Linked DNA regions of Astyanax mexicanus. Each later gene encodes a partner of the first gene's protein in a complex. Links are inferred from orthologs where the notes say so. Each region holds a gene or a part of one and is shown on either strand. Other genes may lie near its edges.

Region 1 (12,184 bases):
TTGGAGCTGTTCTGTTGTGTCACCAATATTTTGTTAGTGGATTACAAATAGTGCTTCATTCAGATGCATATTTAATCATGTGGTTTGTGTGTGAGAAATCCTGTTTAAAAATCACAGTAAAAAAAGTAAACTGTGAACCCATACATTGATTTTTCTGAAGTCTGTTTTACATAAAATTAAATATTTCTAAACATTACTTTGCCATCTATTTTGAGTTAGTTGAACATTTTGGGCACATATACATTCAAACTCTCTGAGATCTTTGAGTTGAACCAACTCATAATAACTGAGTTTAGTCTGTTGCCAGATAAATTATCATTCTTCATTATTTTCCATTTTAAGGCAACCGGTTTCCTCACATTTTTTCTAAGTAAATTCATCTCAGAAATTTGAGCAAACCAGCTGCCTTAAATTTAACGATTTAACTTAAAAGTTAAATCGATCTGGTCTTACAGTATAACAAAATTAATCAACCAAATAAACCAACTTCCCCTTTAGTTGTAGTAACTTGATGTTCTAAGTTATGCAAACTTAAGTTGTCATTATCCATTACTTAACTTTTTTCTTTTTTTAAGGCAACCGGTTTCCTCAAATTTGTTAAGTAAATTCAACTTAGTTATTTTACCATTGCTTACATGCTTATGTCATCTATATGCATTTATTTGCAGAAAATGAGAAATAACTGAAATAACAAAAACAAAATGATGCAGAGCTTTCAGACCTCAAATAATGCAAAGAAAACAAGTTCATATTCATAAAGGTTTAAGAGTCAGAAATCAATATTTGGTGGAATAACCCTGGTTTTTAATCACAGTTTTCGGACATCTTGGCATCATGTTCTCCTCCACCAGTCTTACACACTGCTTTTGGATAACTTTATGCCTGCACTTCTGGTGCAAAAAATTATCTTTAGGCACAATAAGATCCAACAGCAGTGTTTGCAAAGAGTCTTGAAATAGACCATTTTTAATGCACCAATATGACCAGTTTCCCATACAAACCCACCCAGAACCCAAACCAAAGAACAAGCGTTCATATCAACACAGGACATCTACAGTAATGAAATGGTGGCAGCTGTTCACAATTACAGTGTATTGAAGTAATCCAATTTTTTAATTTGCCGAGGCTAATCGTGCTTTTCCAGTAAGGTACTGTTTATCTGAAAGCTGTAATTATGTACATATTACTGTAATCTACTGTAGAAACCTTACTGATCTGACCAAGGCTTCCGGAAAATAATACATACACATTCATTCAATTAAGCTAATTATAAGCATTTAAATAAACATGGCAGTATGACTATTAGGGTTATAGCCATTATACAGCTTTGGAAAAAAAAAAAGAGACCATGTCAGTTTCTGAATCAGTTTCTCTGATTTTGATGTTTACAGGTATATATTTGAGTAAAATGAACATGGTTGTTTTATTATATAAACAACACATATAGACAGCATTTCTCCCAAATTCCAAAAACAAATATTGTAATTTAGAGCATTTATTTGCAGAAAATGAAAAATGGCTGAAATAAGTAAAAAAAAGATGCAGAGCTTTCAGAAAACAAGTTCATATTCATAAAGTTTTAAGAGTTCAGAAGTCAATTTCAAACAATTATCATATGTAATAATAAAATGTATTGTTTTTTTTTCCATTTTGTTGCATTAGCGTAATCTTTAAATATTTTTTTAATCTGTTTTTTTTTTTTTTTCATATCACCAAGAGTACCGTTACAGCGAAAACACCATGAAATATCGTGATATTATTTTAGGGCCATATCGCTCACCCCTATACTCCACACATGACAGACAATCCATCATTTTTTGATCATGTCTCTATATCACTGTGCTCCCATTGTGCTCAGTCTACCTGATAATATCAATACTGTCTGTTATGTATAAATTATAATAATGGCAACACTTGTGGGTGGAGCATATGTAGTGCAGTTAGCCACGGTTGTCACTCTCTGTGATGCTGAAACATCTGTAGATGTTTTTATCTCTCATTGTTTCTCTCTCTCTCTCTCTCTCTCTCTCTCTCTCTCTCTCTCACTCACTCACACACTCATCCAGTGTGCATGTGTCTAATTCAGGAGGCACTGCAGGCTGGAGGTAGTTCATTAAGAGTCCCTGCCATACACACACACACACACACTGCGGGACTGACACAGCTGTGGTGGAGCTGGAGCTCATGCACCTTAACTGCAGACTCTGTGGGGAGCGTGAAACAGCCTCCTCCTCCGGGGGAGCACGACTGTGCACTAATCACAGACGCCTCCAGTCAGCAGTCACACCATGCATATGTTGGAATGTTCTCACCATCAGTGGTGCATTCCTATGCTACAGTTTAGCACACTGTAAAACCCAATAAGTTGACAAAACCTAAAACTTTTGTTGTAAACGATTTTGTAATATATATATATATATATTTTAATATAATTTTATTTAATTTTCTTCCCAGCGACTTGGTTCCGATACATCAGCTCACAGATGCCTTGTGCTGATCGACATCACCCTTTTAGTTATGTGAGGAGAGAGCGCCATCTACCCAGCCGGAGGGTGCAGGGCCAACTTTGCTCCCTCTGAACGATGACAGCTGCGATTACTTAATAAATTATACATTTATCAATCAATCAATCAATCAATCAATCAACCTTCATTCAACCCCCAGGAAAAAAAAACATTGATTTATTTTCAATGTTGCCGAGCTTTGTAACAGCAAATGGATTGAACACATTTAATAATAATTTGGAAATAATAAGAAATAAAATAGTAAAAATATTAAAAAATAAAAGAAATACTCATTTTAAATCAACATTTAATAAAAATATATATGTAAAACAGATCATTCACAAATATCATTAAAAAAACATATTTTACACATACAAAGTAAAAAAAAATGTATAAAATATAAAATAAGTAAAAAGTAAAAGTAAATGTAAAGTAAAATGTTAAAAATGATAAGTGATAAAATGAATAATAGAACTAAGATCAAGAATGAAAAATGAACATTAAAATTAAAATAAAAAAATAAAAGTAATAATAAATAAACAAAATAAATAAATAAATAAAAAATATAAAAAAATAAGAGAAACATATTTTATGTATTAAGATTTTATGTATTATAGAGTTACAGGTATACAGTGAATTTTTACTCTATTTTGAGTAATGTTCTAATCCACATTATCAGAAGCAAGAACTACTCAACTAAGTAAAAAAAAAGAAAAGAAACTTAACCCTTAGATGCATAAGTGGGGTCAAAAATGACCCCGAGGGTTGTTATTCTTCAAACTCTCTGAAATTAAACGTTTTTACACTTCCATTTTCCAGGTATTCCTCATAAAACATGTTTGTGACTTGAGGCCATTTGAATTTTTTAAAATGTTTTTATACATTTTAAGGAATTGCAGTTTTTGTGTCACTACCCCAGTTTTCCATATGTGGGGTCAAAAATGACCCCAAGCATTTCCTACAGATTCTCAAGGGTTTTCTTTGGGAATCTTTGATTCTTGCCAAATGTGAGTGTCAGGATACATGTTCTGTCCCACTTACACATCTGATACCTGCATTCTCACCACCAGGAGGTCAGCAGCAGCATACATGTAAGTATTATCTTTATTTATCAACTCCATGCCTTTTCTCTCATAGAGTATCATGTTGGTCAACAAAGTAGACAATAGTTAGCTAACTACAAAATAATCTTAGTAGTAATGTTAGTTCTATGTTTGCTGGCTTACTTAGCTAGCTAACATTACACTAGCTTAGTAAGCTAGCTGATATTACTGCATTTGTTATGTAGAGACTCATTGTATTCATGATTCCGTATAATAAAAGCTAACCTGTTAGGTAACCTATTATATCATTATTGATTGTGTGTGTGTGGGCGCACATGTATGTCTGTGCTTTTAGTTACATATAACAGACATCCCAAGTTGCAAAAGTTGATTTCAGGGAGCCCATCCCCCCCAACTCACCAAATGATAACGAAACTTTAATTTTATATTAATTAATTTGACGTTTTTTTTTAAATAAAATTTAGAGTATTCAGAGTTGAAATAAAATGAGTTTTATCTTTTTTCTTTTTTGGAATGCCTAACCCTAACCCTAACCCTATGCTTTTTTTATCTGACAAAAATTGACAGTAACAATATCACAAGAAATTGCACAAAATCAAAAACATTTCATATCATATTACAATAATTATTAATATTGCCTCCGCCATGATCTGCTTTCTCTCACTCTCTGAACAAATCCCATCCGGGAGGGGGGAAAAACACTGCCCGCCCACACTAAAAACTGATTGGCTGTCTCGCAGACTCTTTGCAGAGAACAGGCCAATCAGAGCCCTCTCTGTTTTGTCTCTCTCCTTCCCACACGCGACTAGAGAAGAAAGTCTGTTGCCTGTGTACACGTTTGCGTGCAGTGCACTCTTGGGGCACTCGTTCTGAATTACGGGAGATTATATGTGACTCGCGGGCATCCGGGAGCCACTGCCGAAATGCGGGAGACTCCCGCAGCTTCAGGGAGACTTGGTTTGTCTGATATAAATGCACAGACTTACTTAGATTTACTTAGATAGCTACATATTGATTTATTGTTTTGTGTGTCATTCAAACATTGTCTGTTTTATGTTTTCTCATCCAAACTATCATGGCTACACAGAGGCCAGCTAGGAGACCCGAAGACCTTGCTCGAGATATGATCCTGAACCCATCGAATGATCGATGAAGAGCCCATCGGTGGGATTGACTCGGGATCTGACATCACAGATCAAAGGAGCTTGTAACTCCTCACATAAAAGTCGACTGGAAGGTACCCCGAACCTACCAACCTACATCACTGAAGCAATGGAAAGGTGTGGAGTGAAAAAAACTGCCAACCAGCAACAGGGAGAGAGGCAAAGAGGGCAGACACAAGAGAAAGAGGTGCCAGATGTGTCCAAGAAACAAAGATCACAAAGCCACCAATTGCTGTTGGAAATGCAGTACCCCGGTGTGCAATGATCACAACCAAAAGCCAATAGTTTGTGAAAATTGCACACAGTTAATAGAGAAAATAATTTTGTGCGGGCAAATGTGAGTGGACAGTGTTCTGATATTACTTTTTTGTCCTGCAGACACATGGACATACTAACAATAATTTTTAAAGATTTTGATGTTATTTCTTGTGGAAAAATGTTACAAAAGTTGTAAATATGCAATATGTTAAATGTAAAATCTGTCTTTTGTTGACCCAAATATAATAAATATAATCACCTTTAACCAAAATTAAGGGCATTTTTTGTATTCATTGCAAAAACACTTTGATTCTAATTGGGGTCATTTTCGACCCCACTCATGGAAGAGTGTAGGTATTGGTCATCCATGCATCCAAGGGTTAAGAAATGAAGGTCAGTCAATGTGATTTTTTTTTAAACTTTGAAATATGCTCAAGTGTAATCGCACATACATTTAATCAGACATGTTACAATGAAACTGGCTTTATTCACACCAAAATTGTTTAATTGTGGAGAAGCTGTGAAAAATATCTAGCATTTCATTGACAAGATATTTTTCGATTTATGTGCTGATTATTACATATAGGTACAATTTGCATTCAGTGGGTGCATTTCATTTAGCTTATTATATAAAAGTCATCCTTTACTTATAATCAGACCCTTCCTTAGTCTTTGATCACGTGATTAATGATCATTAAGAGCTTTACCAGTTGAATTTCCATTCAAATCTGAACGATATGATTCATAACAGTGATGATTCCCATTTGACACGTAACGCCGTGAGGACCCCTACTCCCCTCCACCAGGCTTAGCGCTCGTGCGTTTACGCTGATGACTCGAGCACACCTAAGCAACTGCACGAGCTCATCTCTCTCTCTCTCTCTCTCTCTCTCTCTCTCTCTCTCTCTCTGTCTCTGTCTCTCACGCTCTCAGCTTGTGAGGCTGGCTCGCTCCTGGCGCGCGAGCCACTGAAACCTGTCTCCATCTAGCGGCTTCGCGTCTGCGCGCGCATTAAAAGACACGAGAAGAGCATGCAGAAACCATGCCCCCCCCCCCGCCCCCCCTCCCCCTGCCACCGTGCGCTCCTCACCAGCCTTCCAGCTCAGGTCACGCATAATTACTATACGACACCTCCCATACACTATACAACACGCATCCAGTGGAAAAAGCGCGTGCGAGTCACCATACTAACCATTACTAACCATACTTTTGCGCGTGGTGCAGTTTTTTTTTTCCCCGCACGAGCTTAGCGTAAAACAGAACAGAGAGCACGACCACGAGCACGCTGCCGGTTCCTGAGGGGGGCTTGGTTTCGTAGATGCCTTGAGCACGTGACGCACCTCCAAAAGGAGCTCTCTCTCTCTCTCTCTCTCTCTCTCTCTCTCTCTCTCTCTCTCTCTCTCTCTCTCTCTCTCTCTCTCTCTCTCTCTCGCTTTCTCTCTTTCTCGCGTTTGCGCTTTCTTACGCGCGCGAGCTCGGAGAGAGGAGGAGGAGGTGCACGGAGCTTCAACTTCTGCAGCGCGCGCGCGCGTTTGTTCGTTCATTGGCTTGCTGGCTGGCTGGGTATAAGGAACACCACCCGGTCCTGTGCTGTATTTCTGCGATTTGTGCCATTTCTGCCTTTTTCCTCGCGCGCGCCAGCATTGTGTGTGTGTGAGCATATGTGGATTTTTCTACGCTATTGTTTTCCTTCAATTCATGAGATCATCATTTTACCGCAGACGGAGTAGAAGCGCGTGGTAACTAACGGACACGGAGACGCAAGCTGGATTCCCCTCCTTTTCGCTCCCCCACGCACGCACGCGCACGCACGCTTCTCCAAAGGGGGTCCCTCGCCGTGGTGTTAATGAATGGACCTGTGAGCTGCGAGGCTTTGCAGAAAAAGAAGAGTTTCACTCCAAAGCGGTTTAGAAGCTGCAGCAGCTGCAGAAGCTCCGTCTGCAGAAGTGTCCTTGGCTGACTGCCCCAACCGCGATCCACCAACTACCTTAGTGCTGAACTTGTTGCTGCGCCCTTTCCGAGCACGCTGGAGGACGTTTCTTCGTTTGGGATACTTTTATTCTTGGTTATTCTTGGTTTCAACCAAAGTGTTGTCTGATTGAAGTTTTAAGAGAGAGAAAAAGAGAGAGCGGATTGTGTGATTCATGCCAACTGCTTTTTGAGCAAGAGTGAGTGGATTTATGTGGAGGTGAGTAGAACGTGCTGAAAGCCTTGTCTGTAAATTTGCATGCTTGTAAAATGATCCTCAGTCAGATGAAAAAGATATTCTAGAGATACAAACCCTCAAATGTTCCATCAAAATGTAGTTACAAGTCTGTTCTGTGCTGTAAAAGTAGGAAAAGGCAACTACTGCAAATGAATTGGAGTGTATTAGAATGATGTATTTCTTAAACTAAAGGGACAGAAGATATGCCCTTGAGAGTCTCCCCAAGAATAAGAGTTTTGTACCATTTATTTAGTTTTTATGGACAAAAGGGAGCCCTCCATTTTTCCAGTCCTTGATAATACTATCGCTTGAGTTTATTGCTTTCCTTTAGTTTTCACAGATTTGAGTCTTACCTGCAGTACAGCAGGAGTTTTCAACCCTGCTCCTAGAGAGAGTGACCTTCTAGCAAACTTTGGCTCCAATCAGTCAGTCAATCAATCAATCAATCAACCAATCAACCAATCAATCAATCAATTAATCGATTAATCGATTAATCAGTTAATTAATAAATCAATCAATCAATCATGCTTGTCCAAATCTAATTGATGTCTCTATGATCAGTTTGCTTGAGTTGATTGTGTTGTGTTAGATTTGGTGTTTGATGGAGGTGTAACCTGATGAATGATTTCTAGGCTTTCTAGGATCATGGTTTAAGATTTCTGCTATTTAGCATGCATGTATAAAGCATGCATGCATCTTACATTAAGATAATATTAATAATAATAAAAAACAGCATGCCCTCTGCTGCCCTTTGGGTGACTTCTCTGATTTACTTACTCAGTTTACTCAGTTCACCCTGTTTGCTCTCCAGATGTGCCTTGTCCTCGTGGTGGACCTCTGAGTGCAGTCCAGTGTGTGTCCCACAGTGAGTCTCAAGTCTGTCTGACCCTGTCCAGCTCGCACCCAGCAGCTGACCATGGCAGCCGGAGTCGCGGCATGGCTGCCCTTCGCACGCGCTGCAGCCATAGGCTGGATGCCCGTGGCCAGCGCCCCCATGCCCCCGCCGCCGCACGACAAGCGACGGTCCCAAGAAGGCTTCATCATCCTGAATGTGAGCGGCACCAAGTTCCAGACATGGCGGAACACCCTGGAGAGGTACCCCGACACCCTGCTTGGCAGCACGGAGCGCGACTTTTTCTACCACGAGGAGACCAACGAGTACTTCTTCGACCGCGATCCAGACATCTTCCGGCACATCCTCAACTTCTACCGCACGGGAAAGCTGCACTACCCGCGCCACGAGTGCATCTCAGCCTACGACGAGGAGCTGGCCTTTTTCGGCATCATCCCCGAGATTATTGGCGACTGCTGCTACGAAGAGTACAAGGACCGGCGCCGGGAGAACACCGAGCGCATCCAGGACGACGAGGACAATGAGAACGGCAAAGAGATGACGCCGCCGGACATGACCATGCGCCAGTCCATGTGGCGTGCTTTTGAGAACCCCCACACCAGCACCATGGCTCTGGTATTCTACTATGTCACAGGCTTCTTTATCGCCGTGTCCGTCATGGCCAACGTGGTGGAAACAGTGCCGTGTGGCACATCGTTCAACCGGGTGAAGGATGTATCTTGTGGTGAGCGGTATGCCCTGGCTTTCTTTTGCCTGGACACAGCATGCGTGATGATCTTCACCGTGGAGTACCTGCTGCGCCTGATCGCCGCGCCCAGCCGCTACAAGTTTGTGAAGAGTGTGATGAGCATCATCGACGTGGTGGCCATCATGCCATACTACATCGGCCTGGTCATGACGGACAACGAGGATGTGAGCGGCGCCTTCGTCACACTGAGGGTCTTCCGCGTCTTCCGTATCTTCAAGTTCTCGCGCCACTCGGCGGGCCTGCGCATCCTGGGCTATACGCTGAAGAGCTGCGCCTCCGAGCTGGGCTTCCTCCTCTTCTCCCTCACTATGGCCATCATCATCTTTGCGACCGTTATGTTCTATGCTGAGAAAGGCTCCAACTCAAGCAAGTTCACCAGCATCCCTGCCGCCTTCTGGTACACCATCGTCACCATGACTACGCTGGGGTAGGTGCTGAGGGGTTCTGGGATGGGGAGCTTGCGAGAGTGTGTGTATATATGTATGCATGTATGTGTGAGTGTATGTGTGAGTGAGTGTAGATGAGCGGTGGTCTGTTCTTGGTGGGATTTTTTTTTAACACTTCATGCTGCTGGCGGAGCAGTAGAGTGTTCACAGCATTCGCAGTACAAGCATTCTATTGTACTGGTTTCCAGTAATATTTGTACTATAACAGCATAACAGTAAGTGGAGAGCTAAATATAAAACATGCATTTAGGGCAAGCGACGCTTATTACAAGCAATACAGTATTTTACATACACACACACATATATTGCACATATATTTGTATTTTTAGTTTCATGGAGCCTTTCTATATGGATTGCTGTAGAAGTGGGGACCAGATAAGGTCCCCAAATTGTCAACATTTTGAGAGTGTGTATGTATGTATGTATGTATGTATGTATGTATGTGTGAGTGTAGATGAGCAGTGGTCTGTTCATGGTGGGATTTATATAAATATATATTTCTTTTTAACCAAGGAAACACTTCATGCTGCTGGCGGAGCAGTGTAGTGTTCACAGCATTCACAATACAAGCATTCTATTGTACTGGTTTCGAGTAATATCTGTACTATAACAGCATTACAGCAAGTGGAGAGCTAAATATAGAACATGCATTAAGTGCAGAGGGAAGCTCATTACAAGCAATACAGTATTTCACATAAACACACATCATATATTGCACATATATTTATGTTTCTTGATTAATGGAGCCTTTCTACATGGATTGCTGTAGAAGTGGGGACCAGATAAGGTCCCCAAATTGTCAACATTTTGAGAGTGTGTATATGTATGTATGTGTGAGTGTAGATAAGCCGTGGTCTGTTCTTGGTGGGATTTTTATATATATTTCTTTTTAACCAAGGAAACACTTCATGCTGCTGGCGGAGCAGTGGAGTGTTCACAACATTCGCAGTGCAAGCATTCTACTGTACTGGTTTCGAGTAATATCTGTACTATAACAGCATTACAGTAAGTGGAGAGCCAAATATAGAACATGCATTAAGGGCAGGGGAAGATCATTACAAGCAATATAGTATTTTACATACACACATATATTGCTAATATATATTTGTGTTTCTAGATTTATGGAGCCTTTTTATGGATTGCTGTAGAATTGTCAACATTTTGAGATTGTGTGTATGTATGCATGTTTGTATGTATGTATGGATGTGTAAGTGTAGATGAGTGGTGGTCTGTTCTTGGTGGAAAGGAAACACTTCATGCTGCTGGCGGAGCAGTAGAGTGTTCACAGCATTCGCTTGTACTGTTTTGAGTAATATTTGTACAACAACAGCATTACAGTGGAGAGCCATATATAGAACAGGCATTAAGGGCAGAGGAAGCTCATTACAAGCTAAATTTATAATCACATACACACACATACACATATTGCTTATATATTTGTGTTTCTAGATTCATGGAGCCTTTCTATATAGGTGAACTTCATTACAAGCAATATTTCTCATAAACACACACATAATTGTATTTTTTGATTTATGGAGCCTTTTTTATATGGATTGCTGTAGAAGTGGGGACCAGATAAGGTCCCCAAATTGTCAACATTTTTTGATTGTGTGTATGTATGTATGTATGTATGTGTGAGTGAGTATGAGAGTGAGTGTGTGAGTAAGTGTAGATGAGCGGTGGTCTGTTCTTGGTGGGATTTTTTTTTGGCGAAGCAGCATTCGCTTGTACTGGTTTTGAGTAATATCTGTACTTAAACAGCATTGCAGTAAGTGAAGAGCCAAATATAGAACAGGAATTAGAGGCAGGTGAACCTCATTACAAGCAATATTTCTCATAAACACACATATAATTGTATTTCTTGATTTATAGAGCCTTTTTTAATATGGATTGCTGTAGAAGTGTCAAGATTTTATATGCATTCTAGCATGCTATCTAGGAACACATTGCATGTCTTCCACTCCGTATCATTCACCAACAGATGTGTTCGCCTCCAGTAGTGGCTGTATCCTGTGGCAGTTGAAGCAGTGGCAGCAGTGGCAGCGAAGAAACCATATTGGAGGGGAGCCGAGAGGAAGACCGCCGGCGCAGCTATTACGATGCGGAGCATCCGAGGCGATTACAGTAATACATCCCTATTGATGTGTTTTCCCATTCATTAATTGGCTCGCTCCCCGGCTCAGCGCGCTTCTCCGTGCCTCCCACCTGCCTGGCAGGGCGCTCTCCGTGGTGCTGGAGCGGTTGCCCGCATGCCGCATGCTCTGCCCAGCGGCTCTGCTGGGCTGTTCGGGAGAGACGGATGCTGCCAGGCCCACACGGGGGGGTGAGTCACACTCCGGGGCAATAACCCAACCGTGCGCTCCAGCACACAACTGGCGCTTTGATCAGCCTGATTTTGAAGTGCGCTGCAGTTTCTGTCATAACACGAAACTGCGAATGGCAGTACGCCCAGATCGAGCCGATAGACTACACAGAACAGGTCAGCGGGCTGTAATTCTCACTTAAAGCCTTCACTGTTCAAATCCACAGAGGGACATTCGAGCTGATTTTACGCATCGGCTTCAACAATATGCAGGCTGCCTTCCTCGTTGTCCTACCTCGTGAATTAGCATCTGTGTCTTAGCAGCTTATCTTGAGCTTGTCTTAAGTCTTGGTGCTGTACTTGGTTCTAGAGCATCCTATTATGTAGCCTTATAAAAAAATATATATAAAATGTCCTCCTATAGAGTGAGACTGTAGACCAGGGATGTCCAAACTTTTTTTGTTGGGGGCCAGAAGGAGAAATAAACGGGCCACACTCTGTAATAAACAAATAATGAAATATACCACAGAAATGCGCACCCTCTCTGCTTTTAGACTCTTTTGCCCCGTTTTTCTGCGCTAGAAATGCGCACCCTCTCCGATTTTAGACTCTTTGGCCCGTTTTTCTGCGCTAGAAATGC
Region 2 (12,418 bases), on another chromosome or scaffold:
CGGTGTCTGAGGAGAGCTCTGTGTCGTCTCTGAGTTTCCCCACGGCTCAGAGACTCATATCAACACATACTTAAACATAAACAATGATTAGAATCATTGATTCCAATCTGCACTCCATTCCTGATCTGTTTTCTCATAAAAAAAATCCTCAAAAGTTCCTGAAAGCATCCGAACAGCACACATATCACACGATATATCATCAGATTTTAATGTTTTAATGCCTCTCAGCTTTTAAATGCTGTATTTTTCAGTTTCCTCTGCTTTTTAGAGATGGAGTGAATTAAAAACAGAACAAAAGCTTGGTTTAGCGTTACGTTAAGTGCATTTTTAAGTACGTTGTGACACCCGAATCTACAAACCAGAGTACGGACTGAGGTTCATGCCCCAGGCCAAATTCTACCTTAAGTATAGATAATTATTGTAATTTTGCATTAATTTGCAATTAAAAAAAGAAAACAGAAAAATACTGTGTATATGTCACACTAACAGAGTTTTTGTATTTAGTTACCCAAAATAAAATCTACTTTAAAACTTCAGGTTTTCCAAAAAAAAAAAAATATATATATATATATATATACTGCTGCAAATAGAATTAATAAAGCAGCTTTCATTTCAGTTTCAAATTCTCCATAAACTCAATATACTGTACATAAAGCTTGTGTATAATAAACTGAAAGTTAGTTTAAATACAGATAATTGTTGTAATTCCACATAAAATACATTTTAATTCATTTAAAATATGACTCTTTCTAACTGAGAGAATTTGATTGGAAGGGATCAGAAGCTGTTCTTAGAGAACATCCTGCAGCATTTTAATCTTAAAACAATGGATTAAACCTATAGAAGATCCCAGACGCTGCTTAAGATCAGCCTGACCTTTGACCTCATAACCTCATGACCTCACAATGCGTCATCCTACTTTGAAGTATCAGATAAAGATGCATCTTCTTCTTTTATTAAAAAAAATGTTTTTTATACTTATTAAACTTTAATTGCTGTTGAAGGAACCAATCACATTTCAGAATGCTATATTTCTTAAGTATGTAATTATACGCTCTTAAAAAAAATGAGCTCCTGCTGTAGTAGAGTTTCCATGTTTGGAAAGGAAATTTGTGTGAAGAGGATTTTTATGGTGATTGGCAACCCTCTGAAAAATGCCGCCCACTTCTCACTAAGCCCCGCCTCTACATGGTGATTAACATTATTAATTAACATACTTAATAGTCAGTCAACAGTTGCATGTGCTGCTGATGCTGACACCAGCTTTAACAGCCATTGAGCTCGCTCTGAATTTCCAGTAATTACCAACCGTCCATATAAAACTACACCTGGATTCTTATTTTTCTTTGTTCTTTATTGTTCATTGTTCTGTTCCACCTTTAGAAGCCTGTGTGTCGCCACAGCAGCAGTATTTAAGGTGGAATGGTAAATGTAAACAAATTTGAAACTTTTATGATTTGCCCGCTATGGAAAGGTTGTAGGTGATCCCAAATAAAGCATGCCTCTTTAACTCTTTAACTAATATGTTTTAAGTACAATTAAGTAGATTAAGTTTTCATCAGGGCACGCCTATTTGTTTTATAATAAAAGCAGGATTTGGCTCAACCACACACACACACACACACACACACACACACACACACACACACTCTCACGCCCTGAAGAGTTTGGATTGTGAAAGTCCACTCTCTCAGTTTCAGTGAGAGGCTCATGAAAGATGCAGGCGGTGTAATCAAGGACAATCGACGTGCCCCCGGAGCCGTGAGAACCGCCATACTGAGTGTGTGTGTGTGTGTGTGTGTGTGTGTGTGTGTGTGTGTGTGGGATGTAAGAATGGCAGATAGGAAGGACCTCACAGGACCCTCTCTTCAGTCTGCTGGTTATAGAGCTGCAGCGTCAGCGAGCTGGAGACTCATTTCACACCTATTTAATCAGAAGCAGTTTAATTTTTAGTGTGTGGAGTTTAAAATAGAGGTTTTACAGTTCTTTAATATTACAGTGTATGAGTTAGGCAAGGTAAAGCAAGTTCATTTTTTTATATAGCAGCTTTCATACACAACGGTCATTTAAAGTGATTTACAAACTAGGAAATACACAGAGAAGTCAAATTAAAAAAACATGTAAAAGAATAAGAGTAAAAATGGAAATAAAAACTAAAATAGGATTAAAGCATGATTGATTCAAACATGATTAAAATAAAGAAAAGTACAATTAAAAACATGTAAAAGAACAACAAGGAATTAAAAATAAAACTAAAATAAGAATAAAACATGATATAAAACTGCCATTCGGACAATTCCGCAGCTTCCTTTCTCTCTCGGCCAATCGCATTACAGAAATTCAAAACTCGTCACCTTAAACTTTATTCTTACAAAAAATCCCATCATAAAACATTATTTTAGTAAACTTAAGTGCAAACTTCAGTAGATTTAAGTTTGTGTTTTTTTTAACATCGTTTGTAACACACCTAAAGTATATTAGTGTAAATATACTACAATTTTTTTTATGTGTCAGTCCTGATGCTTAAAGTCTGCTCAGTCTGACTGCTCTACACAACAAGGACTGCAATTCCCAGCATGCACTCTGCTGATCCTGCTCCCCCAGTTACTGATTGCTTTCTCCTGGCGTGTCTTGTATAAAAACTCCTCAGTTTGCTCTATTCACTGCTTTTATGACACATTTTCCTTTGTTTATTGTCTTTTTTACCGACCTGTTTTTGTTTCAGACTTTCAATTTTTGCATATTGTTTGTTTCCATTGCCGATCTTTGTATTTTTGACTATTTAAATCTATTTAAATCTAATCTGGATTTACTGTGTTTGAGCCCGTTTTACCTTGCTACACTCTGGTATGTTGTTTATATTTGCTGCCATATTTTTACATGATGATTATCATGGATGTGTTTTGAGCTTATCGGCGAATCAGAGTGTCTTCAAGAGTAGATCAGGTGAGCTCTGACTTTGGCGTATTGCTATTTAAACAGTGCAGCTACCTGGACGTATCTTTTGCTTCGTAACTGGTCAGATTGATAGTTTTGAGTAGTTTATCAGGCTGTATTATGCTGGGATGTTTTTGCTTTAATTCCTGAGTAGTGAACTAAATATATGCTGGTTCTGTTTGCTGTTATTTCGCTGCTTTTTTGGCGTAATTTTGAACGTTTTTCGACATGCGCTGGTTTTAGGCGTCTGGTTTTTGTGTTTGTGTTAATCTGAGTATCATGAATTACCCAGAGCGGTTCTGACTCGGTTTAAAACACTTATCTCCACCCTCAGCTGTAATCCTCACATATAAACTGGCAGAGTGTTTCTCAGAGGGGTTACTCATCAACATGAATATCACACTCTCTCACTACACACTGCAGAGAGGATGGCAGTGCCAGCCACAGAACCAGCCACAGCACCAGCCACAGCGCCAGCCACAGAACCAGCCACAGCACCAGCCACAGAACCAGCCACAGTGCCAGCCACAGAACCAGCCACAGCACCAGCCACAGCACCAGCCACAGCGCCAGCCACAGAACCAGCCACAGCACCAGCCACAGCACCAGCCACAGCACCAGCCACAGAACCAGCCACAGTGCCAGCCACAGTGCCAGCCACAGAACCAGCCACAGCACCAGCCACAGCACCAGCCACAGAACCAGCCACAGAACCAGCCACAGCACCAGCCACAGCACCAGCCACAGCACCAGCCACAGAACCAGCCACAGCACCAGCCACAGCGCCAGCCACAGCGCCAGCCACAGAACCAGCCACAGAACCAGCCACAGAACCAGCCACAGCACCAGCCACAGAACCAGCCACAGCCAGTGATGTCAGTAATGCGTTACTCTAATTTAACCCCTTTTTTTCAGCAATGAGTAATTGTAGCGACCACTCTTTCCATTCTGTTTAATCAGAAACAGGAGTAAAGCAGCATAAAGTTATCCAAAAGCAGTGTGTAAGACTGGTGGAGGAGAACATGATGCCAAGATGCATGAAATTAAAACTGTGATTAAAAACCAGGGTTATTCCACCAAATATTGATTATTTCTGAACTCTTAAAACTTTATGAATATGAATTTGTTTTCTTTACATTATTTGAGGTCTGAAAGCTCTGCATCTTTTTTAATTTTCTGCATATAAATAAATGCTCTAAATGAGAATATTTTTATTTGGAATTTGGGAGAAATGTTGTCTGTATACATGGAGATATTTGGAGTGCATTAGTAACTAATCTCACTCAGTAGTTACTTTTAAAATTAAGTAATGTATAAAGTAACTTTTTAAAGGAGTAATCAGTAATTAATAATCAGTAATGAGATTATATATTTTGTAAGGTAACTGTGCCCCAGAGAGTCCCAGGGAATTCCAGCTCCCGTGGATTTTGTTTTCCAGCAGGAGCCAGAGCTTCAGTACAGCGTCCGAGTTCATATCTGTGTCATGAGATCTTACCCTCTGATAACTCAGGGCCACTTAATGACTCAGACTATCGATCCATCCCCCGCCTTTCTCACGATTACCACCCACTGAATTCAATTATTACCCAATCCCTCACATAAAATACACAGACTACTGTTCTACACACCAGAACCCGTGGAGATTATCTCATTAATTCATTCTGCTGCAGTGTAAACAGTGCTGGAGATATCTCCTCACGCCTGAGATAATAAATCTCACTTTAATTCATCCATCGATCCATTAATGCTTTAATTTCTGCAATAATAATAATAATAATAATAAAGAGTTTAATTAGAGTAGTGAACACTGGATACAATGAGTTTGGTTGGTGAGGTAGGTGAGACAGATAGACAGACAGACACAGAGATAGACGGAGAGAGACAGAAAAAGGGATAGACACAGAGAGAGACAGACAAAGACTGAGACATAGACAGAGAGACACAGAAAGAGTGCTAAATAGTGAAAGACAGACAGAGAAAGAGACAGGTAGGACGAAAGAGAATCAAAGATAGAGACAGAGACAGACAAAGAGACAGACATACAGACAGAGACAGACAGACAAAGGGATAGAAAGAGAGACAGATAGTTATAGAGAAACAGAGAGAGAGACAGACTGAGACATAGACAGAGAGAGAGATAAAGACATAGACAGAAAGATAGACTGAGAAAGACAGACAGAGAGATACAGACAGAGTGAAAGAGACAGACACAGGCAAAGAGAGACGGATACACAATGAGACAGACATAGAAATAGACAGAGACAGACAGACAGAGAGAGAGAGACACTTTCCAAAGGAAATGTAGGCAACGCACTTAAATAAAAATAAGTAGATATTCAGTATAAAGGGAATAAAAACTGTAGTACAAAAATGTAGAAAAGTATAAAACTGGTCATTTAACCAAGAGGAGCTACTCTGAAGAATCTAAAATATTAAATATTTTGTTTTTACACTTTTTTCTTTAATAAATAATTATATATGTTTTTTATTATAAACCTACAATGCATACCATTTTAAAATAATGATAAAAACACTGAATTTAAGGTGTGTACTGGTGATATATACAGTATATATATGTACACAGAAGTGTATATCTCTATATGTTTGATGCGTAGGTTGGGATGGGGTGGTAATACTGTATTTTATATAACTGTCAGGTTCTTCAGTGCTGATTTAGATCTATTGATTATTGATTAAGAATTAGCTGTAATTGTTTAAATCCTAACAGTTCTAATATTTATAGGAGATCTGAGGACCCACACACTGCCCCACTCCTCACCCTGATACCACCTGATACCACACACCTGAGTCCCACCAGGTCACAGAGCTCCAGGTGGGGCAGAAAGAGGCCAGTTTATTACCCCAACACCTCTAAATACAGTTACAAATATATATATACCACTTCTATTTTCATATTTAGTTCATTTGAGCTTAGATAAAATATTATAAAGAGATAAAAATGATTGTAATTCCATCACTGCATGTTTGTGAAATCACCTTGCCTCAAAAAAAAAAATTGAATATGATTAAAAAGTTACTTTATTTCAGTAAATTCAGTTGTGTAAAATGTGGAACTTATATATTATATACATGTATTAGACACAGAATGATACATTTTAAGCATTTTTTTATTTTATTGTTGATTATTGATTATGGCTTACAGCCAATAAAAAATAGTGTTTTAGAAAATTTGAATATTATATTATATAAGAACAAGTGGTACTTTTGGTAAGCAGCGTGGGCAGTGTGCCAAGTCCTGCTGGAAAATGAAATCCGCATCTCCATAAAAGTTGTCATCAGCAGAGGGAAGCTGTAAGATATGAAGTGCTGTAAGATTTTGTGGGAAAACACTCATTTATGTGAAATATTTCCATTTATCACTGTTTTATAGACATGTTTTTTTCTCATTTTAAAGTCCTGTTTACTGATTATAGCTGGATCCAGAAAGTCCTGAAAGAAAGTGTTAAGAATTTAAACAGAAATGCTAAATATAAAACAATATTACAATTTAATTCAAATTTATATTTCTACACCATCAAGCAATTGAGCGTTTATTTCCTACAGTGTTTGACTGTGACTCAGAATCAGGATCTGACTGCTTACTGAATATAGAACGATATTTAGAGAAACAGAGAGAGAGAGAGAGAGAGAGAGAGAGAGAGAGAGAGGGAGAGAGAGAGGGAGAGAAATAACCCGGTCCTGTATGTGGTGTACAGCTGCGTGGTGAATAATCGTGTGTAATAAGTGTGAATAAGTGTGAGATAAACGCTGACCCGTATCTATAACTCAAAGATTATATAATATTTATATACAAATCTGAGCTAAACTCCCTGGATACTGAGAGATACTGGAGCAGAAAACACGTAAATCCACTATATTTAAAATATCAGGAGGAGAGAGAGAGAGAGAAAGAGTGGTAGAGAGAGTGTATTAGAGCGAGAGAGAGTGGTAGAGAGAGGTAGAGTGTATTAAAAGGGAGAGAAAGAGAGAGAGAGGTAGAGAGTGTATTAGAGAGAGAGAGAGAGATAGAGAGTGGTAGAGAGAGAGGTAGAGAGTGTATTAGAGAGAGAGAGGGATAGAGAGAGATAGAGAGAGAGAGAGAGAGAGAGAGAGAGGTAGCGTGTGTATTAGAGAGAGTGGTAGAGAGAGGTAGAGAGTGTATTAGAGAGAGAGAGTGGTAGAGAGAGGTATAGAGTGTATTAGAGAGAGAGAGAGAGTGGTAGAGAGAGGTATAGAGTGTATTAGAGAGAGAGAGAGAGTGGTAGAGAGAGGTATAGAGTGTATTAGAGAGAGAGAGAGAGTGGTAGAGAGAGGTATAGAGTGTATTAGAGAGAGAGAGAGAGTGGTAGAGAGAGGTATAGAGTGTATTAGAGAGAGAGTGGTAGAGAGAGAGGGAGGGAGGTGGAGGATCAGCTGAGAGCTCGCGAGCTCAGATCCTGGTTGGATTTCAGTGGAGTGAAGATCTCGCGCGCTCTGCTGGATGAACCGGTTGGTTTGTAACTTTTTTGCGGTTCTGGTTCTAGATCCGGTTCTGTTGGGTTGTGTCGGGTTCTGCTCGGTACCGGAGCTCCGGGTTTCAGCGTGGTTCTCCGTGTTTCTGTAGGATTGTGGAGATGAAGGCGAAGAACCGGGACCAGAGCTTGTCTGACTCCAGGGATCTGGATGGATCTTACGATCAGCTGACCGGTAAGTTTGATAGTTTTGTTTGTAGAAACATCAAACATGCGGTTAATTTTTAATTATAATAAATCCTCATTACGTTATATTTATTCATAAAAACGAGGGTTTACCTCAGTATTAATCGTTTACTGTTGGTTATTATCGGTTATTGTTGGATATTTTTGGTTTTATAAACATGTAACCTTAATTACCGCATGTTTGATTGTTTGTTTGGTTGTTTGTTGTTAGCATGCGTGCTAATATTTTTCAGTTTTGTGTATTTTGCTGACCCGGCTTTTGGTTTTGGGGAGTTTCTTGATAAGTGTTGATTTATTGCTTAATTAATTGGTTGATTGGTTAATGGTTAATTGATTAATTGCACCTGTAAACACCTTGCTGGAGAACCCAAACACTATGACCGCTCAAGCTGGTTAATTTATTAAGCTGGTTAATTAACGCTGGTTTAGTTGGACTACAATGAAGCTAGTTATCTTAAACTCAACATTTTGTTTGTGTTTTTAAATGTTTCTTAGACATTTTTCTTCATATTTAATGTACTTTTTGAGAAATAAACTTGCTTGAGGAACTAAACCCTATGGCTGCTCAAGCTCGTTAATTAAGCTGGTTAATTTTTGCTTGATACTTTTGAAGGTTTAGTTGGTCTACAATAAGGGCTGGATTTCTCAAACGTTTCTTAGCACAAAATTATTTTTCCTAAATGTTTCTTAGACATAAGACATTTTTCTTAATGTTTAAGGTACTTTTTTAAGAAATAAAGCTGCTCGAAAAGTCAAATCCTATGGCTGCTCAAGCCAGTAAAAGGGCTAGTTCATTTTTAGTTGATGCGTTTATTGTATTAGTTGGTTTACAATGAAGCTGGTTTCCTCAAATGCAACAATTTGTTTGTGTTTTTAAATGTTTCTAAGACATTTTTTATTCGTGTTTAATGTACTTTTTGAGACATAAACCTACTGTAGGGCTGGGTGATATATTGGGTTTTTAAAAATTATTATTATTATTATTATTATTATTATTATTATTATATTTCATACAGGATATAAGAAGTGTCTTTTTGCTATTACTTTATGGGATGAGATATACATCATACATAACCATTCAGCAAACAAAAAAAGTAGATGATGTAAAAGAAATGTATGTATTTACAATTGTATTTACATTTATTTAATGTTTTTTTATAATAAGTTTAATTTGAATTGCCTTTGAATTTCTCAGTTTTTAATGATCTTAACTTGTGCTTGATCGACTTAGCTACCCTAGATAATATAGCTTTATCTCTAAAGTGCCTTATGGGATGCAAAAATAATGAGGAAAAAAAATATATATATTTTGTTTGATTCAAATGACCAGCTTTTTAAAACAGCTTAACCTTTTAAATCTTAAACCATTTTAAACCGTCTGAAATGAGCTAGTCTGGTCTTAAACTGGGTTCTTCAGCAGGGTAATGTTATTTTGTTTATTTTAGGTCTATCTAGAGTCTCAGGTGACTCCAGGTTGGATCTGTTTTTTTGTAGTTCTGCTGGCGGCCATATTGCTTGGGTTTAAAACTCACCTGTTGGAACTGTTTGTTTGGGGCTGTTGGAGATGTTTGCACTGACTGTGTGTGAATATATATATATATATGTGTGTGTATATATGTATAGATGCATGGATGGATGAATGGAGGTAGAGGGAAAAAGAAGAGGAAGGATCTTTTCGTCATCGTGGATGGATGGATGGATGGATGGATGGATGGATGGACGGATGAGCGAGACCCAGGCAGCATGGTTAGTAGATTTTAGAGTAGTGTAATAGCGAGCGGAGCTGATATCACTATCTCACTCTTCTCGCACTAGTGATTAAATGAATTGCTCATCACACTGTTGACACATCTGGGTCTCGGGGGGATTTTACAGGCTGGAAATAAGTGGATTTAATGTAGGGTTGCCATGTCAGAGCGGGAATATTGCTGGACACTCAATATTTAGCTTTATTTTGTGCTGAATTCCTTGTATTTGCACTATAATGCACACCTTATTATAAGGCGCACTATTAATAAATGTCTATTTTCATACGTAAAGTGCACAAGATAATAAAACAAAAAAATGTGGCTGTTTCTCCTGAAAGGCGGGATTTTCTTCTTGAAACGGCACCATGATTGGTTAAGAGACACACAGCGGTCAGTGGCCCGTCTCTTCAATAATATATGTGTATATATATTTAATTTTACTATTATACTGGAAATTTAAGGGAAAATACTAATACTGGAGGACGGCGGGAAAGAAGAGTAAAATACAGAGGTTTTCCGGCCCAAACGAGAGACTTGACCGGTATGATAGCGTGACTTTTAAGTGTTTTTTAACCGTAAAAACTGCAGGGGACCAAATCTGGCTTTTGAAAAAGTGCTGGGGACATGTCCCCCCGCCCCCTTCGTCCCCTCCCCGAATGATGTCCATGGGCTCGACTGTGTTTGGGGTAATCAGCGTTAATGTGAATAAAATGTGGTGAATCCAGATGGAGAACAGCTCTGGGCTGTGATTGGTTATTCACTGCAGATCCTGAGAGCAGAAGCTGGAACTGTTTAGTGGCTTTTTGCACAGAAAATGGGTGTTTTTCAGAAATGAGGAAAAGCATGGTGCTGATATCGTACAAAAATATATATTTATTAATGTGAGCACTCAGACCCCATCCTGTTTCTTCTTTTTTTTTTACCCCCATTTGTTATTTGGAACTACAAAAAGACTGAACTACAAGAGGAAGGCGTGAAATAATCAATCTATAGATTACAAACCCTTTAAAGAACCCGATACATGTTTAGCTATAGCAGTGGAGCGCAGAGAGACTAATAAAATGTGCGGGTCTGTCACGGTGGTTTAGCGCTAAGTGTGTTCGTGTTCAAGTCCCGACCTGGGAGGAGTTTCCCTCTTCTCCTCGTATCTGTGGGGGTTTCCTTCCAAAGATACTGAGTGGCGCTCAGTGCTGGATTCAGTTCTCCAGGTGGACTGTGGTTTCCGGTTGAGAGTACGCTGTGTGTGATTGGCTGCTGCTTCTCACTGGTGTGTGTTTGTTTGTGTATGTCTGCTATAGGGCTGTTTATTGACAACAACCTGGTGATTCAATACACATCACAATACAGGGCCCATGTTTCGATATCACAATATACTAGTGCATCTCAAAAAATTTGAATATCATTGAAAAGTAACTTTATTTCTGTAATTCAGTTTAAAATATGAAACTCATATATATTATATAGATGTATTAAACACAGATGGATCTATTTTAAGAGTTTATTTCTTTTAACATTGATGCAATATTTTTACTGATGATCAGAGATGGTTTTGGTTTCATGGAGATGCGGATTTCATTTTCCAGCAGGCCTGGACACACTACTGAATAAAAACAAACTTTTTTGGCAATGATATTCTTTAATGATATTATTTAACCGCCGTCTGCCAACTAGTGGCCGGGAGTTTAAGCTCAACTTTAACAAAAGGCTTTGTGGTTGCTGCATAGTTGCTATGGTGTTGCTATGGTAAAAATGTTGGTTACTGAGGCTTTGCTTTGAGATTCTGATTGGTTTCTCAGGCTTTGATTTGCTAAGGCTTTGCTTTTTGGTTCCTAAGGCGTTGCTATGATAAAGGTGTTGGTTGCTAAAGCTTTGCCTTGTGGTTGCTGAGGTGTTTATATGGTTAAGGTGTTTGTTGCTGTGGATTTGCTTTGTGGTTAATTTGTGGTTGCTGAGGTGTTGCTGTGATAAAGATGTTGGCTTGCTGAGACTTTGTGGTTGTTTTGAGGTTGCTATGGTGTTGCTATGGTAAAGAAAAACAAAAACAAAACATGAGTTGTAAAAACTGTGTAAAACATGAGTCTAAAGTGTCCTTGGGTTTCTGTATAAGTGTAATTTTAAGTATTGATTGATTGATTGATAGATTGATAGTGTTCTGTAGTATAATAACGCTGTGTTTAGAGATATTGGAGTTTATAAAGGATGAGATATATATTGTGTAAATGTTGGATCAGTGTGAGTTGGTGGTGTGAAAGCGTGGCTGTGTGGGAGCGGCAGGCTGACTCAGATCTGCCGGGTTGGAGCTGGTGACTGGTGACGGGTGGCAGGTGACCCGTGCAGTGATTTAAGGTGGCGTGGGTTAAGGTGGCGTGGGAGATGCAGACTCTATAAACCCGGAGCTTTGATTCTTACAGAACTCCAGAAATATCTTTCTCTCTCTTTCTCCTCCTCCTATTGGTTAATTCAGAGCGTGCTGTACCAAAAGATCAAAGCTGGATTACAGAAATCACGTCTGATGAGAATTTAATTCAGTAAGAGTTTCTGTGATAAAGAGAAATTAAACTATTATCCCTCGTTATGACTTATGATGTTTTATTATTATGTTTATTATTTTCTCTCTATAAAACATTTCAGCACGCAAAACCTCAATTCAGAGATTCAATGTTTTTCTTTTTCTTTATTTTTCTATATTTTAAATTAATGCTGAATCATCTGGGTTTTTTTTTTTCTGTGATGCTGGTAACTCAGATGAACTTATCCTATGCAACAGAGGAAACGCTTGCTCTTCCATTCCTTGAGCATTCCTGATGAGTGCCAGTTCCATCACAATCATAATGGTTTTCATAGTCTTGGCAGAAAATGCACAAAAGGATACTTTTCACATCCGGCCCCTGTCACTCTCAGCCCCGATATACCCGCCCCCCTGCCACCCTTGACCCCCTCCCCTCTCGTCGCTGTTACACCCCTCCCTAGCTATACCCGCCCCCCTGTCACCCTTGATACTCGTTAACCTTGACCCCCGCCACTCCTGTCGCCGTT

What was found.
Region 2: the proteins of kcnd2 (region 1) and Kv channel-interacting protein 2 are in contact, whole or in part, in a cryo-EM structure (PDB 7UKH), measured with the Homo sapiens proteins. The link is inferred for Astyanax mexicanus from reciprocal best matches to the Homo sapiens genes KCND2 and KCNIP2. Residues at the interface, in NP_036413.1 of Homo sapiens: Val5, Ala7, Trp8, Leu9, Pro10, Phe11, Ala12, Arg13, Ala14, Ala15, Ile17, Gly18, Trp19, Met20, Pro21, Val22, Ala23, Ser24, Gly25, Pro26, Met27, Pro28, Ala29, Pro30, Trp55, Asp57, Arg61, Arg100; in NP_775283.1 of Homo sapiens: Arg112, Gly113, Phe114, Asn116, Glu117, Cys118, Val123, Phe128, Ile131, Tyr132, Gln134, Phe135, Phe136, Tyr144, Leu148, Phe152, Phe165, Leu169, Ile172, Leu173, Arg180, Trp183, Ala184, Leu187, Tyr188, Met201, Met205, Ile208, Met211, His228.

What each region holds. Positions count from the first base shown.
Region 1 is NC_064409.1:7,760,700-7,772,883, forward strand, and holds the start of kcnd2 (potassium voltage-gated channel subfamily D member 2), read left to right. Parts: upstream 1-6,300; 5' UTR 6,301-7,177; intron 7,178-8,006; 5' UTR 8,007-8,111; coding exon 8,112-9,223; intron 9,224-12,184. UniProt on the Homo sapiens protein: Voltage-gated potassium channel that mediates transmembrane potassium transport in excitable membranes, primarily in the brain. Mediates the major part of the dendritic A-type current I(SA) in brain neurons.
Region 2 is NC_064432.1:26,944,883-26,957,300, reverse strand, and holds the start of Kv channel-interacting protein 2, read left to right. Parts: upstream 1-7,342; 5' UTR 7,343-7,417; coding exon 7,418-7,425; intron 7,426-7,540; coding exon 7,541-7,623; intron 7,624-12,418. UniProt on the Homo sapiens protein: Regulatory subunit of Kv4/D (Shal)-type voltage-gated rapidly inactivating A-type potassium channels. Modulates channel density, inactivation kinetics and rate of recovery from inactivation in a calcium-dependent and isoform-specific manner.